Linked DNA regions of Coturnix japonica. The protein of the gene in region 3 interacts with the protein of the main gene of each other region in a pairwise test. Links are inferred from orthologs where the notes say so. Each region holds a gene or a part of one and is shown on either strand. Other genes may lie near its edges.

Region 1 (4,138 bases), on a different chromosome or scaffold from region 3:
CCTGGCTGACATTGGCACAGCTGGAGATGCCGGAGCCCTGGCCCAAGGCAATGAGAGCAGGGATCAACCCGCTGAGTCCTTCACCTATGAAGAAGGTGGTGAGGTATTGGGCCTGCAGCTGCATCATGAAGGGCAGGAAGGTGACAGAGGAAGTGCAGTCAACCAAGGACAAGAAGAAGGTGAGGATCAGGAATGCAGTGCTGTGAGTGGTCCCTGCGATGGGGGATGTGTAGTCCCAGAGGAAGGCCAGCAGCAAGCAGGCCACGATGCCCACAGACACAACCACATAGATCACGACCACCTCCTTCAACGAGCCAGGCCAGAAGCGGTGCATGAGGGTGACGAAGAGCGGCCCAATGTTGGCCATCTGGATGATGATGGTGATGTAGGAGGGCAGGTCCCACTGCTCCGGCAGCACACTCACCAGCAGTGGCAGCTCGACCCACAGCCCGTTGATGGCCACCCAGGAGCCCGTGCCAAAGACACAGGCGAGAAGGTGAGTGAGCAGCGCCATGGCTCAGGGCTGGCTGCCGCCGTGCTGTGGGGAGAAGCTTCATTCAGAGGTGGAGCTCTGTACCCCAAGCCCCCACAAATGCTGCCTACATCCCCTCTCCTACAGGCAGCCCCAGCTGCTTCTCCTGCAGCACTGAGGATGGGCAGAGTGGCATAGCCTAGCAAGCAGCATGAGGCCTTATGCCACCACGGGGACCCCTCAGTGCCCCACAAGGTGCCCTGCTCTGCCTGAGGCACCCACCCTGCTTGGGCACAGAGACTGGAACGGAGTAATGTGCTAGAGCTGAGCAAGCTTAGCACGGCACTGCCTGTATGGCCTAACACAGCCATAGCATGGACTAGTACAGCCTGGCAGGACATGAAAAGGCCTAGCATAGCCTGGCACAGCATGGCATGGCTTAGTATGGTCTAGCATGGTCCAGCACAGCACAGCATAGCACAGCAGGGCACAGCAGGGCAAAGCATGGCCCAGTACAGCACAGCAGGGCACAGAATAGCTCAGCATGGCCCAGCATGGCTTGGCACAGCACAGCATGGCCCAGCATGGCCCAGCCCAGCTCAGCATGGCTCGGCATGGCTCGGCACAGCACAGCATGGCCCAGCCCAGCTCAGCATGGCCCAGCATGGCTCGGCACAGCCACTGTTGCCTCTCACCTGTGGGCTGTGATTCCTATGCAGCCTCTCTCCCGGTACCCTTGGTCTCTCCCTTCCCTCCGCATCCGCAGGCAGCTCCCAGCCGCTGTTGTCCTCCCGCTGACTGCAGCCCAGCTCCGGGCCGGTGGGGCAGGAAGGTCCCGCGGCTCCACCTGCGAACAAAGCCCGGCTCATACCTGCGGGCTGACTCAGCCCCGCACCGCCACTGCCCGCCCCGAGCCCAGAGCAGGGGGGACCCGCACGGCCCCGCGGATGGGGGTAAGGGGATGGGGGTAAGGGATAAACGGGGACGGGCTGCGGGGTGGGTGACCCGAGGAAGGCAGCGCTTATGGGGCCGGAGCCGGCCTTTATATGACCTCATGGCGGAGGGAGGTGTGCGGAGTGGTTGTTATTACGGAGCGGAAAGGGAGGAGGGAGGAAACAGGAACCGGGTCGGAGCCGGGCTGAGCGGCGGGGCAGCTCCCGGTCCGGAACTCACTGCGCTGAGCGGGGCGGACACGCGGTACCGCCGGACCGGGATACCGGGCCGTGACGTCACACGGACACGTGACCGCCCCCCCCAAAACACCGGGGCGGGGGGAACCGGGAGGGGTCACGTGACCTCGTGCCGTGCCGCTGGGGGGTCCCGGCAGGTCGTTGTTGGGGGGGGGGGTATTTGTGTTATATGGAGCTGTTGGAGTGGGGTGGGATGAGATAGAGTCATAATGACAATAACAATGAACGGGCTGTGGGTTTTGGAGGGGTGGGGGGGGGTCTTCTTCCTAAGGGATTCCCATATCATTGTGCATGGCTGGGGGCAGAGTGACTGCAGCCATCCCATTGTGATCCCATTCCATAAGGAACAGCTGGAGGGGCTCGGGAACCCACCCCCCTCCCACCCCATTCCTGCTCCCCTCCCCAACACACCCAGGAGCAGAGATACAGGGTCCTATAGTCCCCCCCACACCCCCCACCTCAGCCCCAGGTGCTGGCTGGGACCCCAACACCCCAAACTCAGCCCTAGTGCACAAAGTCCCCCCCTCACCCCCCAGCCCAGCCCAGCCCAGCCCCTCCTGTCCCCACGTACCAGCAGGGTCAGCCCCAGCCTGCTGCTGCCTGGCTGCAATGCCAGGTGCTCTGTGCAGTGCTGTTGCTAAACCTGCACACCCTGTCTTGGCCGAGTGCCGGCATTTATTCCTGGCTGTGACACACGGACTTTGCCCTTGTCCTCAAAAGATCTGTGTGCCACCTATATCAGGCTGCACCTTGAGGGTGCAAATGTCAGCGTGCAGTGCTGTGTGGGATGGATGGCTGCAGGGCTGTGTGCCTTGGGAGCACTGAATGTGGCTGAGATGTGGCTGTTCCTGCAGGTGTGCATTGTGCACATACACTCCTCCAGCTCTGCTCAGCCAACACAGGGTGCACGGTGGGATGTGACCAAGCACCCAACCGTGCCTTGAGCTGGCAGGTGTGATGCTGGGAGGGGCTGCAGAGGGCAGATCCAGCTGGGCCTTGTTGCAGCACAGCCTGGCGTGGTCTCATCCCAGCACCCAGTTTCCCCATCAGCAGCTCTTCCCCCAGCACCCACTGGGTGTCGCTGGGAGAGCGGGCTGCGATGTGCTGCCTCGTGCAATGCCCTGCCTGTCCCTTATTGCCCTGCCTGTGCCCTGCAGCCAGCCCATGCACCAGGAGCGGTGGTGTTTCTGCATCTGAGTGCCCTGTGTTGCTAGGAGGCACCGGGGGCTGATACAGCTGAGCCTCTTGCTCCCCATGGGGATGGGGGCAGCAAGGGGACAGCGGCTGTGCCTTGTTCATCCTGCAGCACAAAGGAGCCCGAAACCAGGACTAATTGGCTGTGGCACAGGGGCCGGGGGGCACAAAGGGTTGATGGGCACAGGACTGAGTGCTGCTGCACGCTTCTTGCCCCAGCCCAGCTGACACGTGCTGCCTGCCGTGCAGGGGGGGCTGCCCCCCACCCCGTGCTGCACCGCACGGCAGCTGAGCCCCGGCCCCTCTGCACCCCGGCAGATGCGAGCAAAGGCCCCAAGGCAGATGGCAACATTTGGTCAACGAGCGGTCCCGGGCCATGGGACTGTGCTGGGATCAGGCAGGAGAAAGGCCCACCAGGAACCACCCCCTCCCGTGTCCCCAAATGCAAGGCCATGTCCAGCGTGGGTGAGGATGCAGCAGATCCTCTTGGGTGGGGAGATGCAGGTGATGAGAGCGGGGCTCCATCCCTCATTCCGCAGGCCCTTCTCATAATGAGGATCACCAGTAAGGAGCACAACCCACCAGTGGGACCCCAGCTGTCCCACTGGAGGGGGCCCTGTCATACAGGCTGGGGAGCCCAGCCAGAAAGTGGGGACCAACAGCGGGTCGCTGCCCGTGGCCCCTTCCTCCCCTTCCATTCTCCTCCTCCTCACAGCTCCCCATCACCATTTGCATCCCATTTCCATGTGAATGGAGCAGGTCAAGTTGAAAGTTGAAAGCTGGCGAGGGGCGCCTGGGGAAGGGGCCTCTGCCAGAGGTGAGAGCCCAACAAAAGGGGCCGCATCCCCAGGGCACTGCGCTCGCATGGCTGCGGCCACGGCCCTGGCCCCAGCACAGCCGCCCTTCCACCATCTGCGGGTCCGAGTGCAGCCGCTGCTGCTCAGACAAAGCCCTCACACCCGGCACGTCCCCATCTGTTGGATCCCCTGCACCCGGGATCAGTGCAGCTCTGGCCCTGAGCAAGGCTGCTGTATGCAAGGATGCGCATGGAGGGATATACATGGAGGGATGGTCATGGGCAGCATCCAAACAGTGGGCATGAGGTGAGGCTGTGCCCGTGAGAGCACCCCTCAATCATCCTTGTGGTCTCTAAGGAGCTCCCTGTGCCCCACAACAGCCATTCAGCATCAGGGAAACTGAGGCAGCGAGTGGGCAGTGGCTGTCCTGGGTCAGGGCAGAGGCATTTCCCAGCTCCAAAGCTATCTGCAGCATTGTCTGGGTG
Region 2 (3,979 bases), on a different chromosome or scaffold from region 3:
CGGGGTGATAACGATCTGTTCTAGGAACAGGCGTGCAAAGTGGTGCTTAACTTGTCTGACTTGTTCAAGCATTAAGTGGAACAGGGGGGACTTCAGTTAAACGAATGCTGCTTGTTCAGCTTTGCTTACACTGACACGAATAGACTTGCTGAGCACACGCTGCTGATGTTCCATCCCCACGGTGGCCTCCCTGGCAGCAGAGCTGGGATAACGCCTTGTTCCCAGCTGCTTTCTCCTCCTGATTGAAGCAGGAGTGTTTCTTTGTTCCAGCAGAGCTCTGAGTTGAGCAGCAGAATCAGGCTGCTGTTTTATGCCGGTTCTGCACGGTGGCTTTTTGCAAGCTGACAAGCAAATGTGTTGCTTAATGTGTTACTGGAAGGTTCTGGGTTTGGCACGCTTTGCAGGATTAAAACTTCAGCTGGAGTATCTCCAAACCACAGAGTGACATCACGCATCTATAATATGATTGGAAGTCATCTGTAGCTCCTCCGTCTCGTTGCACTTTTTACTATACTTGCAGTTCAAAGCTTGTTGTGGCTGTTATCCTGCAGGACAACGCTCCCACCAGATGGGTTAACCTGGAAGCTGCATAATTCCCAACGGCTGGAGTGTGATGTGAGGCGGGCAGGGAAATGCCTCCAGAAGGCGGCTGCTTTCTGCAGGGCTGCAGCTCTGGTGCAGGCTTTGCTCTGCTCTCTGCTGCCGTGCCTGGGAACTGCACTGAGTGCCTGCAGAGCTGTGCTGGGATGCGCAGTGCCATCTGTGAGGCCAGCAGGGCTCTGCCTTGGGATTCTGTCTGTGTTGGAACGGGCGGGTGTTTGCTCGCAGGCTGGGGCTGAGTGTGACCTGTTCTCTCCCCATCCCTCAGCTCTGCTGCAGAGGAAGGTGGAGGAGGTGACCAAGGTTTGTGAGAGCCGCCGCAAGGAGCAGGAGCGCAGCTTTCGGATCACCTTTGATTGAAGGACTCCCAGTTCACAACGCTTACCTCACAGCCCCATAGAGGAGAGGTTGGCGGGGACCTGCTCGGCATCTTTTGTTTTGTGTATGTTCCTTCTTTAATTGCAATAAATGTCTTTTTGCTGAAGTTACTCTTTGTGGCGGTGGAGGCTCCTCCTGCTGCACACACACACAACTGCTGCCCCAGGCTCAGCACTTTGTGCAAGCTGGATACTTGCAATCACAGCTCCGTGTTAGCTGGGTCCTTACAGAAGAGGGTTGACAGATGTGAGGAGTCTGATAGCCTCAGCTTCCCACCACGGCCATGTGGGCTTTAATGAGGGGTTAATGAGTTGTGCCTCTAACATCCCGCTTGTAACGCTGTGCGAGCGCTGCGGCACTTCGTCCTCCCCGCCGCCAGGGGGCGCTCGCTCCGCCGCCATCGCCGCGGGTGCTGCTGAGAGTTGGATCCCGGTTGGAGGCCGCGGCCATGCGGAGGTGAGCGGGGGGCTCCGGGGGGGCGGGGGCTGCAGGGCCGAGCGCTGAGCGGTGCTTCGTGCCGAGCAGGGTGAGCAGCAGCGTGTGCAGCGATGAGGTGCTGCTGGAGGAGCTGGAGACGGAGGGGGAGCGGCAGCTGAAGAGCCTCCTGCAGCAGCAGCTGGACACCAACGCCTCCATCGAGCGGTGGGTCCCGGCCGGGGGATGGGGGTGCTGATGGTGCGGCAGCCCCGCTCAGCTCCCGGCGGTCGTTCCGCTCTCGGTGCAGGTGTAAGTCGAAGCGGAGGTGCTTCGCTCCGGCCGCGTTCTACCGGCCCTTCGGGGAGGCGGCGGCCGGGGCTCTGAGCCTGTCCCAGTTCCGAGAGCTGCAGGAGAGCGACAGAGAGACCGCGGCGCTGCGGGACCTGGGGCTGTCCGACCCCGAGATCGAGCTATGGAGGAACCGCGCTGCGGGGAAGGTGAGGCCGCTCCGCTGTGTGACAGCCCCATAAACACCGGCCGGATGCGGAGCCGCCTCCTCTCGGCTCTCGGCCGCCCCACGCGGCGGGGCCCGTTTGACGGCGGCCCCTTGGTTGCAGCGCTCCGGGCTGGGGGCGGCCCCCGAAGCCGTGCGGGAGCGACTCGATGCCATCCAGCAGAAGATGGACGAGAGGCAGCGCATCCTGCAGCTGCCGCAGAGGTTTGCTGGCAGCAAACAGCTGAGCAGGAGGGAGATGGAGATCGAGAACGCTCTATTCCAGGGGACGGACCGGCATTCCTTCCTGCGGGCACTGTACCACCAAGGTGTGCTCCCAGCCCTTCTGCCCTTGGGGCTGTTTAACAGAGCAGGGATCCCACTGCGACCTGCAGGGATGGGGTTGAGCCCTGAGGTGCAGAGCGGCCCCTTTGCTGGTGGGGGACAAGTGCACCGTCACACCGTGTCTCTCTGTTGTGGATTAGATGACACCCCAAGGGTCACAGATGAGAAGGACCCCATGGGTCACCTGGACAGCGTTTACCAAGAGGTGCTGGGCAAGCAGCCGCCTGCAGGGGACCAACCAAGCACGAGTGCTGTGTGCTCCCTGCCTGCCCCAGCCCTGCAGGGCTCTGACCATGAGGACTCATCACCTCCTGACCAGCCAGGCCAGGCAGGGAGCCCCAGCCCTCCATCAAAGCTCCAGCAGCCCCCTCCAGGGCCTGTGACTATAAAGGAGCCTGTGGAGTTCATCCCAGAGGAGGAGATCTGCAGGAACCGGCTCTCTGAGGAAGAGCTCCGCAACATACCTCGCTTTTCTTCCTACCGTCCTGGGGAGCCCAACAAGGTACATGGAGATGAACCACGCTTTGTCCATCTTCCAGCCAGGAAAGGCTCTTTGCTCCTGCCTGGCAGCTGCGTGGAGGTGCCAGCTCCTGCGTGCGTGGGGGACTCCGTGCTGGTAGCAGAGCTGAGCTGGCTCCTATATGTGAGGTGTAAGGGCTGGCAGTGGGTTTATGTACACCCGTTAGCCGGGCACAGGCCGGCTGACCCCAGTGCCTCCACAACAGGTGCTGTATGTGAAGAACTTGGCCCCTCGTGTGACCATGCAGGACCTGGTGTCGCTGTTTGCCCGGTTCCAGCAGGACAGCACACCCATCCAGTTCCGCCTGCTGAGCGGCCGCATGCGGGGCCAGGCCTTCATCACCTTCCCTGGTGAGCTCAGCCTCCTGCCTGGCCCTTCCTCCTATCTCCCCTTCATCTCTGCTCACATTTTCTGTGTGCTGGGGGAGGACTCATCCAAACGTGCTGCTGGGTTTCCTGCATGCTGCTTTCTTGGGCTGGGGGCTGCAGCGCTGCGTCACGGTGTGCATTGAGAACCATTCTGCTCTCTCCTTGCAGATGTTCAGTCAGCTCAGGACGCGATGCTGTTGGTGAACGGGTACAAACTGCATGGGAAGCCCATGGTGATTGAATTTGGGAAAAGCAAAGTGCCATCAACAGAGGCTGAGGCTGCTGCTCCCTCCTGCTCTGCTGGAGCACCGCCTGCTGCCACGTAAGGGCTGGAGGAGCTCGTGGACTTGAACAGGCCCTGAGCTGGCCTTGCTGAGGACTGGTGGGAGCTGAGTGCAGCTCTGTGCAGCTGCAGGGCAGGGTGAGGGCTGACCGCAGCCTCAAGGTGCTGAGGAAGCACAGCTCTCCTCTGTGCTGCTGGTACATGAGGCTCTTCAGGGGGGCTGGTGCTGGGTGCTCCTCATGCACTGTTCTCACACTGCCGTTGGGGTGCTCCACCTGTCTGTGTTATCAACCCCTTGTGGCGAGGAAGAGGGGAAGCTGTGTGAACAGATGTGCTGATATCGTGTATTTCTGGATCTTTATTTGCACGTCAGTGTGCTCCTTTGAGAGAAAAGGGACTCGTGTGCAAGGAAGCATCATTTTTCACACTTGAATGTTTTAAAGCATCAGCATCGTTTGCCTTAAGGTGGTGCTTTGGGTGCAGAAGTTGCTGGGGCTCTGATATACTGGAGGTTGTCTGCTCTCACTGGCTGAGCTGCAGCCACTGTTCAGCACAGGAGCTCTGTGTCCAGCAAA
Region 3 (3,500 bases):
AAATATTTTATAAAACTGAAACGTTTTGAGCATTGTTCAAATTGGAGGCATTTTATAGCTTGTGTGCCTTCGGACAGTGAGGTAGAGCTAAAACGTATTTGTTTTTGTAAACCCATTGTATTTAAATGATACTTACAGAGAAATTCAGCATTTCTCCTTGACTGTCAAACTTAGAGATGAGCTGTTAACCAAACCCAAACAGCTGCCAGAAAAGTACTCCTTACCTCCATCACCACCTGTTATCCTCCCAATACAGATCATGCTGAATCCTCTGCAGAAAAGATTCCGCTACCATTTCACTGGAAATAAACCAACCAATGTTTTAAGCAAGGTATGGAAAGAAAAAAAAACAGTTTAATTTTATTGCTACTATTTTTAGCAGCATTAAATTACGTAGCTTTAATGCTTTCATTTTGGAAATTCAGTTTCTTAAAATACGTGGTACTTGTATGTACTGTATGGACAGGCATCAAGGCAGTGCTTGGAGACCTTTGAGAGGACTAACATCTTTTCTGGGCTAGGCAATGTTTTTCTGAAATCATTCCTGCATTCGCTCCCATCATTTCAGAAGCATAGATTAATTTAGTCTTTGTCTTTACAAATTGTTTTGCAGTGTTCAGTATTGCTTGAACTCAAAGACTGTATAAGGCTCTGACTTTGATTTTTGTTGTTGTGTTTTGCAACGTTCATGTGACTGAAAATACTGGATCCTGCTGCTGGTGTATAATGGGTATAATTCTATTTGCCATGTGTCCAGTTTACTAGTTGGAAATTGACTTGCTTTTTGTATGAGTTATCTCCAAAGGCTGAGTCTTTTCATCCAAGAACTGTCATGTAAGCAGGTTTCTTACAGGTGTAACGTTAGCACTGCTGTAATGCTTCTGCAGCAGGATTTGAGAGACACTTTTTGTAAGAGATTAGATCTGTGTGTTTGTGTTGACAGTCTTAGGCAAATCAAAGTGTATTTGCACTCTGGCAGTTGCTACTACAGCGTATTTTTAATAGCGTTATGTATATTAGTGAGTTCACTAATTTAATTTTCTTTTTTAAATAAGCCTGAGTGGTATTTGACACAAGTGCTCATGTGGATTGGAAATCACGCCAAGTTCCTTGATGACAAAATCCAGCCAATATTGGACAAGGCAGGATCGCCAGTGAATGCTGGGGTAAGCACCTCAGTGGTTTTGTGTATGTATAAGTACCTACACAGCTTGTGCAAGCAACTCTTCTGCTGATCTTAGTGTGCAGTGAGACTTAACACAGTCCAGCAACAGTTTTAGAAGTTAAATACATTTGCACATATTTATACATGTCTATACCTCTGATTTTTCTATTCACTTTTTTTTTTTTTTTTTCTCTTTTAAAAGCTTGAATTCTCTCGTGCTCTGGTAATGCTGATTTTGGAGAAGCTGGCTACTGATATTCCATTTGTGTTATATGACGACACTCTCTTTTGTCACCTTGTGGATGAGGTACTTCTGTTTGAGAGAGAGCTATTCAGTGTTCATGGTTATCTCAGCAGCTTTCCCAGTTGCATGCATATTCTCTCAGAAGAGTCCTGCTTCCAGAGATGGCTGACAGTGGAAAAGAAATGTAAGACTTGGAAGGAATTTTGTTGGTCTGTATATGTTTTCATTCTGATTGGGCAATATATCAATTCCCCAGGTAGGATGAGCCACTTAAACTACAAAAGACATGTTTTTGAGGTCAGCAGTGAGTAGAATGCCCAGGGGTCAGCATTGGTGCAGTCCTGCTTAACATCTGTACTGATCTGGACACTGGGTGGAGTGCACCCTTGGTAAACTTGCAGATGATACAGGACTATGGGAAGTGGCTGATTCTCCATAGGGCTGTGCTGCTACCCAGAGGGCTGTGGACAGGCTGGAGCCCAGGTGGGCTGGTTATGGCGAGAAACAACTGCTGGCACAAGGACATACTGGAGGCCACCCAGCTGGAAAGCTGTTCTGCAGAAAGGGATGTAGAAGCCCTGGTGGACACTAAGTTGAACGTGAGCCGGCAATGTTCTCTTGCTGTCCTGAAGGCTAATGGTGTCCTGCATTAGGCAAAGTATTGCCAACAGTTCAAGAGAGATGATCCTTCCTTCCCTCTATGCTCAGTACTGGTGAGACCACTACTCCTGCAGCAGTACTGTGTCCAGTTCTTCCCCCGCCAACATTATGTGGGGAGACATGGACATACTGGAAAGAGCCCAGTGTAGGGCCACCAAGATGATAAAGGGACTGGAGCACCTCTGCTGTGAGGAGAGGCTGAGAGCTGGGGCTGCTCAGCCTGGAGAAGAGGAGGCTCCAGGAGATCTCATCACCATTCCGTTCCCCTCTACTCTGCCCTTGTGAGGCTCCACGTGGAGTACTGCTTCCAGGCCTGGGGCCTCCAGCACAACAATGACGTGGAGTTATCAGAGTGGGACCACAGGGCCATGAAGATGATTAGAGGACTTTAGCATCTCTGTTATGAAAAGGATGAGGCAGCTGGGATTTGTCAGCCTGGAGAAGAGAATCATAGAATTACTCAGGTTGAAGGCCTCAAAGATCATTAAGTCCAACCACAGCCTAACTGTAGTACCCTAACAACCCTCTGCTAAATCATATCCCTGAGCACCACATCCAAACAGCTCTTAAACACATCCAGGGACAGTGACTCAACCATCTCCCTGGGAGCCTATTCCAGTGTTTAACTACCCTTTCTGTAAAGAAGTGCTTCCTAACATCCAACCTAAACTTACCTTGGCACAACTTCAGGCCATTTCCCCTTGTCCTGTCACCAGTGAGATTTGCCTCTTGATGAGAAAGCTCTAGGTAGAGACCCCATTGTGGCCTTCTGGTAGTTAAAGGGAGCTTATTAACAGGAGACACGATCTTTGTTAGTTTGCTGTGGAGGACATGGCCCTGGTCACCCTGTTATAGGTGCTCCTCCTTAAGCAGGAGTTTGGTCATACAGACCCAGGTCCCTGCCAGCCCCACCCATTCTGTGATACTCCAGTATTCTGTGGTTATTTTGACTAAAAATTGGTTTGGCTGCAGTACTGCTCCTGAAGTTTATAGGACCATTGCCCCTAATCTAGTATGGTTATTTAACATATAATCTAGGGATCTAGTATGTTTATTTTTAGATAGTGTTATACGCTTATTTGTGCAAAGACTGACTTGAAATTGAAACGAAGGGAAGGTATTAATTTTTGAGGAAATGGGGAGGAAATATACTGGAAAGGAACCAGTCATTTAAAACAGAAACCACAGTCAACCCTGATGTTCTGTTTGTGTCTGTAGTGCTGTTACTGCAGCTGGTTCTATATAAATCAAGTCATCGGTAGTTTTTCTTTACATGAAGACGTTAAATTCAATTTATTGGAGATAAAGATTTTTATATTTATGGTTTTTTGGGCTTTAGATAATTGCTTTTATTATTAAGTACTAACAGCATTTACAATTCTTTTGCATCTCAGTTGCTCTTCAGAAAATGGACTCTATGCTTTCATCAGA
Region 4 (3,500 bases), on a different chromosome or scaffold from region 3:
TGATAAATGTTGTATCTTAAGAATTAATAGAATACTATGGAATAAAGGATGGTGTTCATATAAAATTTAGCTTTGGACGGATGCAAAGTACATTGTATCTTGCTATTTCCTAGTAATCTGAGGGAGGGTGGTTGTTTCAGTGGGCTTTCCTTGTAGATTTAAATTAGAAGGAAACCAGAGGGGTGGAAAAAGGAGGAAATAATTATTGAGCTTCTGTTTGTTTGAAGAACTAGCAGAGTAATGTGAGATGCTGTGGTGAGTGTTGGAGTTGTGACTGCCCAGGTGCCTTTCTGGACAGGAATCTGGAGGGTGCGGTTTTCCAGTCATGGGGGCTGCACAAGGCAAAGCTGTTGGCTCGGTACGTCTGTGTGTGTGCAGTCCTGCTGCAGCCCTTCTGCTTTGGAGCTGTCTGACCTCGTGGTGAGCCATGGCAGGGAGCACAGCTGAAGAGTGGTGGGCTGGGGGCTGTTTGCTTTGGTTGAGCTCTGAGTGTCCTCATACATGGATTGGATGAGCTTCATTGTTGGCTCAGAGTTAGAAGGAATGTGGTTTGAGGAAAGGGGCCACTGCTCTGAAAGCAGCGGATCAGATTTGGTGTCATAGCACAACTCCCAGGGCTGTATTTCCTTCGTGTCAGCTGGAGGAAGCAACTGAGGGAAGCTTTCCTGGATACGAGCCTAATGGGCTGAACATAGCTAGGGTACAAATGGAGGGCTTCACAGCCAGGGTAAGGCACCTTTGTGGTTACAATTTTCTACAAAGAAACAACAGTAGGGAAAAAAAAGTACATTTCAGTTACTACTTGTTAAACAGGGATGAGAGATTCATGGATGAGAGATTCAAGGGAAGCAAACAGGGAACAAACTGCTGGCTTACCTGTTGTGCAGTAGTTTGGTCTGGGTTGTACTAACAGGACAGAGCTGTGTCTGTCTGGTGTCGCTTTGATAAGAAGGATCAGTTGGCACAAGAACCTGCATGTGTGGAAACCGGGGAGTTGGAACAAATAATACATGAATGTGAAAGTGAAAGGCTTGGAACAAGGTGCTGAGCAGTGAGCTGTGAATGTGCCTTAAGAAGGGAATATTGTATTTGTACTAAGAGGAAGACTTGATTATGCTTGATGCTGAGCCGTTTAAAATGCATCAAGGGCAGCTGGCAGGTTTGATTCAGAACCGTGCTGGCAAACTGAGGTAACTGCTGCACTTTAAAGCAGAAGGCTCCAGTTTTAGATGAATGAAGTGCTGCATTTGAGTGGGAGGAATCAGCTGTGCATCCTCACAGTGGAGGATGAGTGCAGAACAGAAACTGGAAGCTGTGGTGGGCTGGCTGGCTGTAGTTTTTAACGTGGTTTTGTATTGTAAAATGAGCTTCCAGATTCCTATTCACACTCGATGTTTATCATGGGGAGGGAGGTGGCTGAGGCACCAGTTGAGTTGTTGAAGCGGGGTGCAGTGTCCCTGTTGGTAGTTCCTGCCCTAACATGGCGGTTTCGGTGGTAGGGAGGTTCTGGTGATAGTCTCTTGTGATGAAAAAATAAAGTAAGCCAAGAATTCACTTCAGGTGCGGCGTCTCCCCCAGGGCTGAGGTTTACCAAATGCTGTGTCCTGTGAGCTTTGTTTGTGGCTGTGTGATGCCATGTTCTCACAGTTCAGCTCTTCTCATAAGAGATGGCTGAGCAGGACAGATGTGGGTGAACTCTGCAGCGTGTTTTAGCTCATCGCTTCTTTCATACCACAGTGAATTCTTGCACCAGATCTATGCCTTGCAGCAGGATTTAGTTGGAGGCTGAGCTCTGTCTCTGCAGTTTATGGTAAAGCTGATTTTACAGTTTCTAATGTTGTTTTATTTGAAAGGTGATCATTGTATTGAAGAGGGGTAAACTGAAGTCTGGCAGAGGTGTTACAAGGTGATACAGCTGAACGCTGGTAGGTTCTTACTTCACCTGTGGAATCAGTTGCCCTCTCCCCCTGCCCTTCTGCTGTAGTTGCTGGTATCAGTATCTCAGTAGCATTATAGCATCCCACTGACAGAGCTGTATGGGCACGGCTGGTGCTGCATTGCCTTATGGCACCTGGGAAGGATCGTTTGAATGCAGACAGCAGCAAAGATGTTTTGCTGCAAGGGAAAGGGTGCAGTGTTACACTGTGGATGAGCTGCTCGTACCTGCGTGTGAAGGTTGTGTGTGTGTGTGTGCTTGGTGCTGCTAACTCTCACAGGCTGAGCTGCTGCTACCTGCTGTCCTGACAGACTGAAAGGAAAGATGGAATGCGTTTCAATAGCAGCATTAGTAGGTTCCAGTAGTTTGCAGCATTGCTGGCCTGTTACTCAGACTGCAGGAGCAGTTGCAAATGCAATTGACTTTTAAGCTTGAGAAAGTGCTGTTTTCTGACAGCTAATTATTCTCATTGTGATGGTTTATAGTTTTATATTAAGCACTGATGGGTTAGGAGGGGGAATAAGGAGAGTGATGTAAAGCATTGTGATAAACAAGAATCAGCCGTTTGGGTTAATGGGATAAGTAGTTGGTTTTCTTTATAATAGAATGTGCTGGCTGCCCTACTTCATGTTTCTCTGTCATTGCTGTCGATAAATTGCCATAGCGAATAACAGAAAAAACTGCTGTGAATGTGTCTGCAGCTCCTTGTTGCAGTCTGTGTGTCTCGTCCATCTGTAGTGTCTTTCCAGAAATACGAAGGATGGATTTATGGAAGGTGCTGTGCCAAGAACATGCAGCTTTGCTTAGGAACTGGAGTCTGCTGTGTTTATATAGGAGAGAGGGCTCCACCTACTGGAGACAGCTGTGAGTTGATAGAGCGTGTTTGGGATGAGCAGTTTGATAAGCAGGTCTCTTATGTCCGATCTCATGGTTTGGGATTTGGACCATTTGTGAGGAAGTAGACGTGTCGTGTGTCATGTTTTCAAGTCTGAGCTCTGAAAATGTACTTTGAGCTTTTGTTAATGTTGGCTTCCTTTTATTTTAATAGGAACATCATCTCCAACGGGCTATCTCAGCACAACAAGTATATGGAGAGAAGCGGGATAACATGGTTATACCAGTCCCAGAAGCAGAAAGTAATATTGCATACTATGAATCTATATATCCTGGAGAATTTAAAATGCCAAAGCAGCTGATTCACATACAGCGTAAGTAAAGTTGGAGTTCCCACCAGGAACTTTATTTTACCAGCACGTAGAGATTGATCTTAAATGCATTTTGAGCTCCTATCAAGTCTAGATTGTGAGAATTAATTGTCATATTAAGTTCTTGTTCAAGAAGTAGATAATGTCCTTCTATGTCTGTATGTTCATACTTCAGTTTTAGTAATTCCACTGAGTTACACGTGTGTCAGGGTGCTGTTGGTGCTGGAACATGGCAGCTGCTCTGCTTGGTGTGGACCCTGCCATGAGCACATTACATTGGACAACTTTCAAAAACATTATAAAAGTCATTTAAAACTGTCCCGTGGGGTAATTACCAGACCTTAAAAATTATCTTTTGT
Region 5 (3,500 bases), on a different chromosome or scaffold from region 3:
AATCATAGTGTACTGAAGGGCTCCAAACTACTAAAGCAAAGCCCAAAAATTCAAAACTAGGTGGTGAAGGTAGTACATTTAAAGTTGGCAGGAGAAATATACATTTTTTAAATCTTCTGCCTGATCAGCATTGAAAGAAAGCAGGATGTGATCATGCAATTAATTTTTCCCTTGGTCTTCTCAAATTTGGGCAGACTTTTCAGATTATATGCTTTCAGTAAAGTCATGATGTTCAGTCAGCAATGTGTCCTCTTTCTTCTTCCCAGTGTTTCTCCAGGCCTGCTGCTCATTTTTGCTAGCTCCAGTAGGTCTTGTTCCCATTTGCTATGATGGAGCATTGGCCTGCAGCAAAGGAAAGCAAACACACCAGGGGAAAGAAGGAAATGGAAGAAGAAAATGCAAAGGGTTAAAAAAATACTGATCCACTTCCATTTACTCACTGAAAATCCACACACAATAATGGAGGTCCTGCACTCATGACAGTGCACACTGAAGCATAGTACAGTTTTCTTTTGATTAATGAATCTTCAGCACTTTCTCATTTCTCTCGCTGGCAAAACTGTCCCCAGCATGGTGCTTTGAAGTGAGCCAGAACTGGTCAGAAGGATCATCTCATGTTCCTTCAACCTTTAGTCTCATCCCAAAGCTGTGTAAAGGAAGTATAGCCCAGAGTAGCTGGAGACAAACTCAGGGTTTCATACAACTTGTGTGTTTTGACTGATTAGAAATCTTCCCAGTACAAACTTGCAGTGGAAGTTTTGCTGCTAACACGCAGCCTGACCTCAACTGAAGATTACTTGGGATGAAGTAAGCTTTAATGGAACACTGCTCTTTCTCTGAGCAGATGATTCATCCTCCTGTATTCTGCCACATGAAAAGGATTAATGTGGATTAGCTCTTGTAATTCAGTCTGTGTCTCTCTTTTCTGTCACTCTGTCTTCCCCTGAAAGACAGAGCACTCTTGTTGAATACTGGCGTGGCCATCCATTAACTCTGGGACCTTCTGACCACATACCTACACCATGTAAACATTTGTGTTTCGAATAGCAGTGACAGCAAAAACAACCTTCAACATCAGCAGGCAGCATATAAAATTAGCTGTATTTTTAGATTTGTGTTCTAATTCTTAAAATAAATTGAAGCAAGAATTCCTTTGGGTTTGGGATCATATTTTAGAGTAATAAAACTTAGGTAATCAACTGTAAGATGAAACTTCTCATAAATGTTGACTCATCTCTTCAGACACACCAAGTAGAAGACTGAATAGTCATTGCACTTTACACAGATGATGATTGCATTACAATTTTTTTCCTGAGATTTTTTTTCCTTGTTTCTCAAAAGAGAAATCCAGTGTAGTGCTGGACTACCAAAGCCAGTGGTGCATGCCCATGAAGTTATTCCACCTTTCAGAATATGCAAACTTTGCCAAATTTAGTAGTTCTTTATTGAATATACTGCTCTTTCCATGACTTTAAAGGGTAATGTTCCTCGAATGTATATGAGGCGGCTATATTCCTGCCTATAATTAAATCCTTCTGTACAATCCTTAGAAGCTTTTATTTCTTTTTGCTGTTTAATTTATATGCAAATCTAACAAGGCAGCACCCTTCCTGCACTTTTCCATACCCATCCTGCTGTTCCTCGCATACTCTCAGTTTCTGTGTATGTGACTGAAAAACGATGATCTCACCACAATCTGTTGAGCATCTCCTACATCAAATACTGATTTGGAGCAGGATATTAAAAGTCTCAAGTATCTCCATTTCTTTCAGGTCTAAGTCTGCCAGACTGCTGCAATCATGCAATGCTGCACAAAGCACCAGTATTGTGTGTAGGTACATGTGCTACCCTCTGCTCTGGCTGTGGAGAGGTTTCTATAATCCCATAACCCCATCTTTGCCACAGACTCATTGCTGTTACATACAAATGTGTTCCTCTGGCCCAGTACAGTGCTGGGTGTCCCCTGTCCCCATGGGGCTCCCAGCCCCTAGAGCACCATCCCTTGCCGGCTCCATGCTGGTGCTGGAGTTTTGAACTGGTAAAGGTAGTGCAGCAGGCACCACCTCACTCTCCCTGCCCTCTCAAGAGCTGTGTTTGCCTTTCAAGCTATTTTGTAATTTGTTTTCCAGATGAATAACATATATATAAATTTTTTGATCAATGTTCTGGCCTTTATACAAAGCCTCTATTATGTGCAGAAACATTTTTCATTTCCCTGAGATGAATGCTCTGTAGGTGAATCTCAATATTTCTGCATCACCAAGAGATGACAAAAGGATGGTCTATTTAAACTGTCACAGGCTCTCTTTAGTTCCTTTGTCTGACAACAGAACTGGCTTTAACCTGTGGTGCCTCAGAAGATAATTTCTCTGGCATTTTAAAACTCATCTGTTTCAACTTCCAATCAACTATGTATACTCAATGTTCCGTGCTTTGTGCTGTGCACAAACTACACAAGCTAGGATATTTGTTTCCTTGGTCTTGTTACAAGTGCATTTGATGGGAGCAGGTGGTTTCTCCTGGGGGGGGGCAGGTGTAGAGGGGACTTTCAGTCATCCTTCACTGCTCAGGGAGGTGTGCAGAGCAGAAGTCTCTGTCTTCTAGCTCATGTTGGATGATTTTATGATGTTATACAAATATTTACATATACACTAAAGCAAATCATCTTCCTCCTGTGAAAAAAAGTAGATGTATTTATGTAATTACATACACATATATTACACATTGTGTTTAGGTATGGTAAAGACAGGAAAAAACTGGATGCATATATTACCTGGACGTAAGCTGGTTAAGTATTATTCAATTAATGCCATCATTCTCAAATCATCTGTTTGCTCGTTTGAAATGTGACAAGATATTTTACTGAATGCAGCTGATAGAGTTTAAATAGAAAATGACAAGTTATTCCTATAAAACACCACATCTTTTTTGCCTGTTGCCATTCCAAACCTGATTATCCTCCACATCTGCTTCAAGCCAGAGGATGCTGCTGTCTGGGCACTCCTACACTCCGGGTAGGCATCCAAAGACTGCAGGCAGCTGGAATGATTGTGTAACTGCGTTTCAGATTTAAATTAGCTCACCGTTAAGATTAGACAGCAGGAAACCAAGGAGGAGCTGGCCCAGCAGGGTGAGCTGTGGACTTTTTCAGGTCACCTCAAACAGCTGGGAGCCACTAGGAGTTTGCAATGCATGGACACCATGTGTGTTGTCACTGCAATTCAGGGGACTGCTGGTTGAATGCTGAGTGCCTTCTACTTCCCCACCTTCATATGTGTCCATGCAAAAGTTCTCTCATCTCTGGTTTGGTTGCAGATGTGAGTCAAGTATTGCACAGCTATCAGGAGACATCCGTGTTATCAGGCATGAAGTCCAGAACATTGATAAGGAGATCTACAGCCTCCGCTCTACCCTCAAAAATCATGTTGGCAGATTTGAGAAGATGGTGAGTACAGAAATTCACAATATCCAGTGAGTGATGATGATGCACATGTAGAGTG
Region 6 (3,500 bases), about 150 Mb from region 3:
TTTCAGGTATTTTCTTCTAATTTTCTGAGCTTTCTTTTAAATAAACGGATCCTACCTGAAATGTAACAAATATCGAACAGACAAAACAAAACAAAAAACAAAAGAAAAAAGGAATTATTCAGCCTTTTTTTCTGTACATTTAGTTGTGTTGGTTATCCCTATCCAGGAACAGATTCATTCAAGAAAGAGAAAGTACTGAAAACAAAGATGACATCTTCAAAGAGTGGCTTAGAGTTGTTCACCTGAGAAGAGTGTTGGCATGTTTTCACAGAGCATGAAGATGAGGCATAGATTCACAGCCTAGCTATTTTACAGTGCATGATTTAGTGGGCAGTGGTAGTTGTAGTAGGAAAGGAAGAGGAGGGGAAAGATTGAAATAGAATGTATGATAGTACATGATTAAATGAAGATAGTACATCTATTTTAAGTTGGAGTTTTGCCAAGGTACTTGTGACTAGCTCTTAACTTGTGATGGAATATAGTGATATACTCCTCTTCCTGTTGTTAAACATCTGTACTTTAATACCTGAGCTGTCTGAAACAGGGCATGATTGCTCTCAGGAGATGTGTCTGATAATAGTATGGTTTGCAGATGCCGTATGGAAAAGAGTAGTGCTGCTTCTGCTACACACTTTATCCTTTTTGTAGTAAAGGATATTACAAAGAGCAAAGTATGCTTTTTTCCTAACTTATTTATATTTAAATGCAATTTTTTTTTGTCTGTCTTTTCAGCTTATGGAGAAAACTGACAGAGACTACTACACTCTGGATGATATGTTTGTTTCCCAAGCAGCAAAAAAAGCACGCCTTGGGGAAGAAGAAGAAACACAAAGAAGAAGAGCAATACATGAGCACCAGCAGCTTGCTGCACGCATGGAAAAGTGTCCTTACTGTTTTGATAGCGGTGAACTTTCTAAACATCTTATTATTGCAATTGGTACCAAGGTAAGAAAATAGCGATTTAGCACAAAATTAAATGTAAAAAAGAAAGAATAGTGGAGTGATTGAGTTAAAGAGCACAGTTGCTTCTTTATTTGATTATTCTGCCTCTTATACTCCCTGCCCTTCCAGTTGATTTCAAGAATTCCTCAAAGATTAGGGAGAAAAAGATATGAATCTGTTGTGAACTGCAAAGCTAGTCTTTGATATCAGAACTTCTGATTTGTGGAAAACATAAAGCAATAATGAAAGATCTAAGTAAATACTGTAGGTGGATTTGTGGAAGGCTAAGTCATACTACACTGGAGGAAATTTGAACTGATAAAGATCTGTATCTCAGTGATTTCAAAGAAACCCAAGTGGAGGATTTCATTCTTAAGCTTAAAATCCTTTGGAATAAACAAAACCAAACCATCCTCATTTTGTTAATTCTTTTAAAATATGTATAAATATTTGGATTTATAGCAGCCCTTGCTGTAAATACTTTGCTGTAAGTAGAAGATAATGTCTTCTATTGGTTTGAACTGTAGCAGATGACGTATTTCTTCAACTTAGCGATGAGAATATTTTAAACACTAGAATAATAGGCACTTCAGTTTTTGTTCACTCTTCATAGGTATACTTGTCTCTGCCAAGCAACCAGTCCTTAATTGAAGGTCACTGCCTGATAGCTCCTTTACAACACCATACTGCAGCCACTCTTTTGGATGAAGAAATCTGGGAAGAAATCCAGGTCAGATAAGAAACTGTCTCATGTTCCAACAGCTTTGTAAAATAATATTGTTTTGAATGACACGGTACACGCTTGAAAAGTAGGTACATGAGAATCTAATGAGATTTAACAAGGCAAAGTGTAAGGTGTTGCATGTGGGTCAAGGCAATCCCAGATATGAGTTCAGACTGTGAGTAGAACTTATTGAGAGCAGCCCTGCCAAGAAGAACTCGTATGTCCTGAAATCTTGTTCCATCAAGATCACTGCTTTCACAGAATCACAGAATCACAGAATTGCCCGGGTTGGAAGGGACCTCAAGGATCATGTAGTTCCAACCCCCCTGCCTAGCAGGGCCACCAAACATACACATTTACTAGATCAGGTTGCCCAAGGGCCCGTCCAACCTGGTCTTGACCACCTCCAAGGACGGGGCATCCACAACCTCACTGGGCAGCCTGTTCCAGGACCTAACCACCCTTCTAGTAAAGAACTTTTCCCCTAACATCCAACTAAATCTTCCCTCCTTCAACTTAAAACCATTTCCCCTAGTCCTGCTGTATATCAGCCCTTTTGAAGAGTTTACTCCCTCCTGGGAGTAAGTTCCCTTCAGGTACTTGAAAGGCTGCAATGAGGTCACCCCGCAACCTTCTCTTCTCCAGGCTGAGCAAACCCAACTCCTCAGCCTGTCCTCATAGGGGAGGTGCTCCAGCCCCCTGATCATCTTTGTCGCCCTCCTCTGGACCCTTTCCAAAAATCTCCATATCTTTTTGTACTGAGGGCTCCAAACCTGGACACAGTACTCCAGATGGGGCCTCACAAGAGCAGAGTAGAGAGGGACAATCACCTCCTATCCCTGCTGACCACCCTCTCCTGATGGAGCCCAGGATCCCATTTGGCTTTCCGGGCTGCCAGAGCGCACTGCTGGCTCATGTTAAGTTTCTCATCTATTCAGGACCCTAGGTCTTTTTCAGCCGAGCTGCTCTCAAGGACAACTCCCCCAGCCTGTACAGGTGCCTGGGGTTCTTCCGGCCCAAAGTGCAAAACCTTGCACTTTGCCGTGATTGAACCCTATTAGGTTCACCCGAAGCCCAGCTTTCCAGCCTGTCAAGGTCCCTCTGAAATGGCATCTGTTCCCTCCACCGTATCGACTGCACCACTCAGCTTGGTGTCGTCAGCAAACTTGCTGAGGGTGCACTCCATTCCCTCAATCGATGTCATTAATAAGATGTTAAAGAGCACCGGTCCCAAGAACAGACCCTTGAGGGACGCGCTCGTTACCGGCCTCCACCTGACATAGAGGCATTGACCACCACCCTTCTGTCCTGCGGCCTTCAAACCAATTGCTTTATCCATCTAGTTGTCCACCCATCAAATCCACCTCCCTCCAATTTGGAGATGAGGATGTGATGGGGGACCATGTCAAAGGCCTTGCTCAGGTCCAGGTAAATGACATCGGTTCGCCTTCCCTTCAACCACCAACTGCCGTACTCCATCATAGAAGGCCACAAGATTAGTTAAGCATGACCTTCCCCTGGAGAAGCCATTGGTGGCTGTCTCGGATCACATGCTTGTTCTTTATGCGATCAAGCATGTTGTCCAGGAGGATCCTGTTCCATAATCTTCCCAGGCACACGAGGGTGAGACTCACCGGCCTGTAGTTACCCGGGTCGTCCCTGCTCCTTTCTTGTAAATGGGAGTGACGTGACCTCTTCCTCCAATCATCCGGGACCTCACCCTGACAGCCACGACTTCTCAAATATGGATGGAGAGCGGCTCAGCAACTCACCTCAGCCAGCTCCTTCAGGACCCTGGGATGCACGCCATCTGGCCCCATAGACTATACTCATT
Region 7 (3,926 bases), on a different chromosome or scaffold from region 3:
CACCTGCAGGTAAAGTCAAATTCTTCATTCTGAATTAGAGAAAAATGCAAAGCAGAGGGAAGTTTTGTGTGCACAGGCACGGCCCTCTGGTTTATGCCAACTTCAGAGGTAATTTCTACATAACCTTGTTAGTGGAGTGTAATATCTGGAGTGTTGAGAACTCTTGCAGCTCCTATCTGTAAGCACTGCAAATGGGGGTCTGTGGGGATGATACAACCAATGCAGGTCAGAGCAAATATAAAGTTATTGAAGTGGAATTGTCTTCCACTCAGAAACTTGTTCTTCCTATCCCAGAGGTCTGGGTATGTCAGGGTTAGGGGAAATAACTCTGTTTCTGATAGAAGACTGCACTAAAAACTACACCAGAGTTAAAGATCTCATTGTACTTAAATGAGAGTTTGTTCACTACTATATACTGAAAGCTATTTTGTATTTAGTTCTGACTAAAACTAAATGAAACTGCTTATCAGTCAGGGCTGAGCTTGTTAGGGGCCCTGGGGATCTGTGCTGAAGTAGCTGCAGCTTGCACAATGGATTAGGAAGTTTAATAGCTGTTAGAGGACTGAAAGTCAACAAGGGAATACCAGCACTGTTGTGTTGTAGTGAACAGCAGCAACTTTCAGGGCCGATCACATCTTTAAGGCCATGTTCTCCTATTGGTTTGCAGGCATCTTGGACTTCTGCAGACAGGACACCTGTGCTCATTGATCTGACAGCTGCTTTGCAAGGCAAGAGCCGCCACCAATGTGAGAACAAGGAAATCAGTCTAGTCCTGCCTGTCTGCAAGGAAACCGTCACCCCCGGCCATGTATGCTGATTATCTTTTATCATAACCTTTGTTTTCTGCAGCAAGTAGATGTTGTTTATGGTCATGTAATACTGCTCCCGTGTCGTGCCGTTCCCGTTTGCAGCAGGGGTCGATCTGTACCATCCCTTCATTGGGGTCGATCTGTACCATCCCTTCATTGGGGTCGATCTGACCCATCCCTTCATTGGGGCGCAGCGCTGCCGTGACCGGCTCCGTTCAGCGCCGAACTCGTTTCTTACGTCGGTGCTGCCTCCGTGTGGCCAAAGCGCGGAACTGCACCGGGACGCATGCGCAGTGCGATGTGCGGGCTGACGCACAGTGCTCTGTGTCGCCTGACGCATGCGCAGAGCGCCCCGCGGCCCGTCGGTGCGGCCATGGCGCTGGTGTCGGCCGACTCGCGGATCGCGGAGCTGCTGTCCGAGCTGCAGCGGCTGCTGGGGCACACGCAGGTGCGGGGCTGGACGCACAGAGCGAGCGGGGCGCTGCTCTGCCGCACCGACACCATCGGGCCGCTCTGGGGGCGGTGCGGGGCTGTAGGGTGCTGGTTCGGGGCGGCGCTTTGTCGCACGGGTCCGGATTTGGGCTGTGGGGCTGGAGGTGGGGTGGTGGTGCGGGCAGCCCCCGTCATCCCGCTGCATTGCAGGAGGAGCGGTCCCGCAGCGAGCACAACCTCATCAACATCCAGAAGACGCACGAGAGGATGCAGACCGAGAATAAGAGTGAGAGCGGGGCCGGGCCGAGGGGCGGCGTGAAGGGGGATGAGGGGGCAGGGCTGGGAGGAGAGCAGGGCAATGGGGAGGGGAAGGGGTTCAGAGAGGAGTGTTGGGCAGGGGCAGCTTTGGGGCCGGGCTCGGGAACGGGGCGGGGTTTGGGGACAGCGTGTTCGATGGGGACTTGGTTTCACAGCGTTCTTACCTCCCCCCTCCAGTCTCGCCGTATTACCGCACGAAGCTGCGCGGGCTGTACACCACCGCCAAGGCAGATGCTGAGGCCGAGTGCAAGTAGGGCGGCCCCTTCATACCCACATCCCCATACCCTACACCCTTACCAACCCTACACCCTTACCAACCCTACACCCTTACCAACCCTACACCCTTACCAACCTTACACCCTTACCAACCTTACACCCCACCAACCCTACAGCCCACCAACCCTACACCCCCACCAACCCTGCACCCCACCAACCCTACACCCTGCCCCGTGCCCCCCATACATGACAGCTGCCCTTATGGCTCTGCAGCATCCTGCGCAAGGCGCTGGACAAGATCGCTGAGATCAAGTCTCTGCTGGAAGAGCGCCGCATTGGTACGTGCCTCCATTGAGCCCCCAAGTGTCCCTGACCCCCACGTGTCCCTGACCTCTCTTTTTCTATTTTTACACCCCAAATCCCTGGAATTACGCCCAAATCTCCCTCTGTATGCCCCCCCCCACAACTGCCCTCCCAATCTTGGTGTCACTGTGTCCACCCCCCCACTGTGTCACAGCTGCCAAGATCGCAGGGATCTACAGTGACGCGGAGCCGCCGCGCAAGACGATGCGTCGTGGCGTGCTGATGACACTGCTGCAGCAGTCAGCCATGACGCTGCCGCTCTGGATCGGCAAGCCAGGTGACAAGTAGGTATTCCCGACCCCACAAGTGCACTCTTCCCCACAGGGTGCCCTAAACTCCCAGACCCACACTCCATCATACCCCACATTGTGCCCTGAGCTCCCAGTTCCACTGGAGTTCTGGTTCTGGACTCAGATTCCAAAGCACGGCCCTAACCCCATGCCTGACATTTGGATCCATAGCAAATCTCAGCCCCACCCTGGGAAACCCAACCCCATCCAGACCCCATCCTGACCGTGCCCTCACCCTTCCTCCCCTCTCCCCCCATCAAACCCCAGGCCCTGTTCCCTGACCCCTGTTGTGGATTGCCAACACCCCCCTGACTGCACTGCAGAACCCCAAACCCCAGCCCAGCCTCACCCTCTAACTCCCACCCACCAACCCACCCCCACCTCATTCTCAGGCCCCCCCCACTGTGCGGTGCCATGCCGGCAGCTGGGGACTACGTGGCCAAGCCTGGGGACAAAGTGGCGGCACGTGTCAAGGCCGTGGACGGCGATGAGCAGTGGATCCTGGCGGAGGTGGTCAGCTACAGCCATGCTGCCAACAAGTGCGTGGAGGGGGCAAGGGGGCGGCAGGTTGGGTGTGGAGGGGAGCAGGAATATGTGTGTGTTGGGGGGGGTTTGAGTGGGGCCGGGGGGGCAGTTTGGGCACTTTGGGGGTGTGGGGCATGGTGTGGAGCACTGCACTTGTTGCTTGTGGGGCCGTGGTGTGCTCTGGGATCGCAGCATTTCCCCTTGTTTTGCTGTAGTTCAGTCCTTTCTCCTTTCTCGCTTCTCCCCACCCCAGGTATGAAGTGGACGACATCGATGAGGAGGGCAAAGAGTGAGCACCCCCACTCCACAACTGCCCTCTCTAACCCCACAGCTGCCCCCGCTCTCAGGCAGCCCCCAGCCTCCTCTCCAAGCCCTCCCAATCCCTCCAACTCCCTCCTTATCACCCCCTAACTCTTCCTAACTCCCTCCAAACCTCCTCAAACCCCACAGAACACCCCAACTCCCCACAGCCCCCCTCCCCATGTCCCCCACGCTCCCAGTTCTCCACAGAACTCTTCTTGCTCTCACCAAATCTTCCCAGATCCCCTCGGCGCACCCCCCCAGACCCCTCTAGCTCCTCCCGAACTCCCTCCCCATACCCGCCACACCACAAAGCCCTTCTCAACCCCTGCCCCCAAACCTGCTCTCCACACCCCTCATCTCCCCCATCCCCAGCCCGTACCCATTGCTTGCTCCTCCCTTCTGCAGGAGACACACGCTCAGCCGGCGCCGTGTGATCCCTCTGCCACAGTGGAAGGCCAACCCTGAGACCGACCCCGAAGCGCTGTTCCAGCGCGAGCAGCTGGTGCTGGCACTTTACCCACAGACCACCTGCTTCTACCGTGCCCTCATCCATGCACCCCCGCAGCGGGTACGGCCACATTTTGCCCTGGAGATGGGCCCTGCCGTGCCCCCAGCTCTCACTCATTACTGATGCTGTTTTCTGCCCCGCACACAGCCGCAGGATGACTAC

Evidence for each region.
Region 1: the proteins of RINT1 (region 3) and FAM110A interact in binary tests that used the Homo sapiens proteins (3 or more experiments, as listed by UniProt). The two-hybrid records come from large-scale screens. The link is inferred for Coturnix japonica from reciprocal best matches to the Homo sapiens genes RINT1 and FAM110A.
Region 2: the proteins of RINT1 (region 3) and RBM41 interact in binary tests that used the Homo sapiens proteins (3 or more experiments, as listed by UniProt). The two-hybrid records come from large-scale screens. The link is inferred for Coturnix japonica from reciprocal best matches to the Homo sapiens genes RINT1 and RBM41.
Region 4: the proteins of RINT1 (region 3) and EPC1 interact in binary tests that used the Homo sapiens proteins (3 or more experiments, as listed by UniProt). The two-hybrid records come from large-scale screens. The link is inferred for Coturnix japonica from reciprocal best matches to the Homo sapiens genes RINT1 and EPC1.
Region 5: the proteins of RINT1 (region 3) and FAM81B interact in binary tests that used the Homo sapiens proteins (3 or more experiments, as listed by UniProt). The two-hybrid records come from large-scale screens. The link is inferred for Coturnix japonica from reciprocal best matches to the Homo sapiens genes RINT1 and FAM81B.
Region 6: the proteins of RINT1 (region 3) and CWF19L2 interact in binary tests that used the Homo sapiens proteins (3 or more experiments, as listed by UniProt). The two-hybrid records come from large-scale screens. The link is inferred for Coturnix japonica from reciprocal best matches to the Homo sapiens genes RINT1 and CWF19L2.
Region 7: the proteins of RINT1 (region 3) and SGF29 interact in binary tests that used the Homo sapiens proteins (3 or more experiments, as listed by UniProt). The two-hybrid records come from large-scale screens. The link is inferred for Coturnix japonica from reciprocal best matches to the Homo sapiens genes RINT1 and SGF29.

The regions. Positions count from the first base shown.
Region 1 is NC_029535.1:9,125,469-9,129,606, forward strand, and holds the start of FAM110A (protein FAM110A), read left to right. Parts: upstream 1-1,338; 5' UTR 1,339-1,425; intron 1,426-1,516; exon of another isoform or gene 1,517-4,138. Other genes in the region: SLC52A3 (solute carrier family 52, riboflavin transporter, member 3), read right to left, coding at 1-514.
Region 2 is NC_029519.1:1,848,402-1,852,380, reverse strand, and holds the start of RBM41 (RNA-binding protein 41), read left to right. Parts: upstream 1-1,179; 5' UTR 1,180-1,426; coding exon 1,427-1,434; intron 1,435-1,503; coding exon 1,504-1,620; intron 1,621-1,702; coding exon 1,703-1,892; intron 1,893-2,012; coding exon 2,013-2,217; intron 2,218-2,373; coding exon 2,374-2,735; intron 2,736-2,958; coding exon 2,959-3,103; intron 3,104-3,289; coding exon 3,290-3,447; 3' UTR 3,448-3,979. Other genes in the region: NUP62CL (nucleoporin-62 C-terminal-like protein), read left to right, coding at 869-960. UniProt on the Homo sapiens protein: May bind RNA.
Region 3 is NC_029516.1:12,593,500-12,596,999, forward strand, and holds part of RINT1 (RAD50-interacting protein 1), read left to right. Parts: intron 1-174; coding exon 175-331; intron 332-1,055; coding exon 1,056-1,166; intron 1,167-1,367; coding exon 1,368-1,593; intron 1,594-3,463; coding exon 3,464-3,500. UniProt on the Homo sapiens protein: Involved in regulation of membrane traffic between the Golgi and the endoplasmic reticulum (ER); the function is proposed to depend on its association in the NRZ complex which is believed to play a role in SNARE assembly at the ER.
Region 4 is NC_029517.1:12,811,081-12,814,580, forward strand, and holds part of EPC1 (enhancer of polycomb homolog 1), read left to right. Parts: intron 1-2,984; coding exon 2,985-3,144; intron 3,145-3,500. UniProt on the Homo sapiens protein: Component of the NuA4 histone acetyltransferase (HAT) complex, a multiprotein complex involved in transcriptional activation of select genes principally by acetylation of nucleosomal histones H4 and H2A.
Region 5 is NC_029547.1:51,192,829-51,196,328, reverse strand, and holds part of FAM81B (protein FAM81B), read left to right. Parts: intron 1-3,315; coding exon 3,316-3,445; intron 3,446-3,500.
Region 6 is NC_029516.1:161,582,775-161,586,274, forward strand, and holds part of CWF19L2 (CWF19-like protein 2), read left to right. Parts: intron 1-732; coding exon 733-945; intron 946-1,555; coding exon 1,556-1,672; intron 1,673-3,500.
Region 7 is NC_029530.1:7,882,920-7,886,845, reverse strand, and holds the start of SGF29 (SAGA-associated factor 29), read left to right. Parts: upstream 1-1,126; 5' UTR 1,127-1,182; coding exon 1,183-1,257; intron 1,258-1,451; coding exon 1,452-1,527; intron 1,528-1,736; coding exon 1,737-1,809; intron 1,810-2,048; coding exon 2,049-2,113; intron 2,114-2,292; coding exon 2,293-2,422; intron 2,423-2,820; coding exon 2,821-2,967; intron 2,968-3,206; coding exon 3,207-3,242; intron 3,243-3,661; coding exon 3,662-3,824; intron 3,825-3,911; coding exon 3,912-3,926. Other genes in the region: melanotransferrin-like, read left to right, coding at 1-9, 668-708. UniProt on the Homo sapiens protein: Chromatin reader component of some histone acetyltransferase (HAT) SAGA-type complexes like the TFTC-HAT, ATAC or STAGA complexes.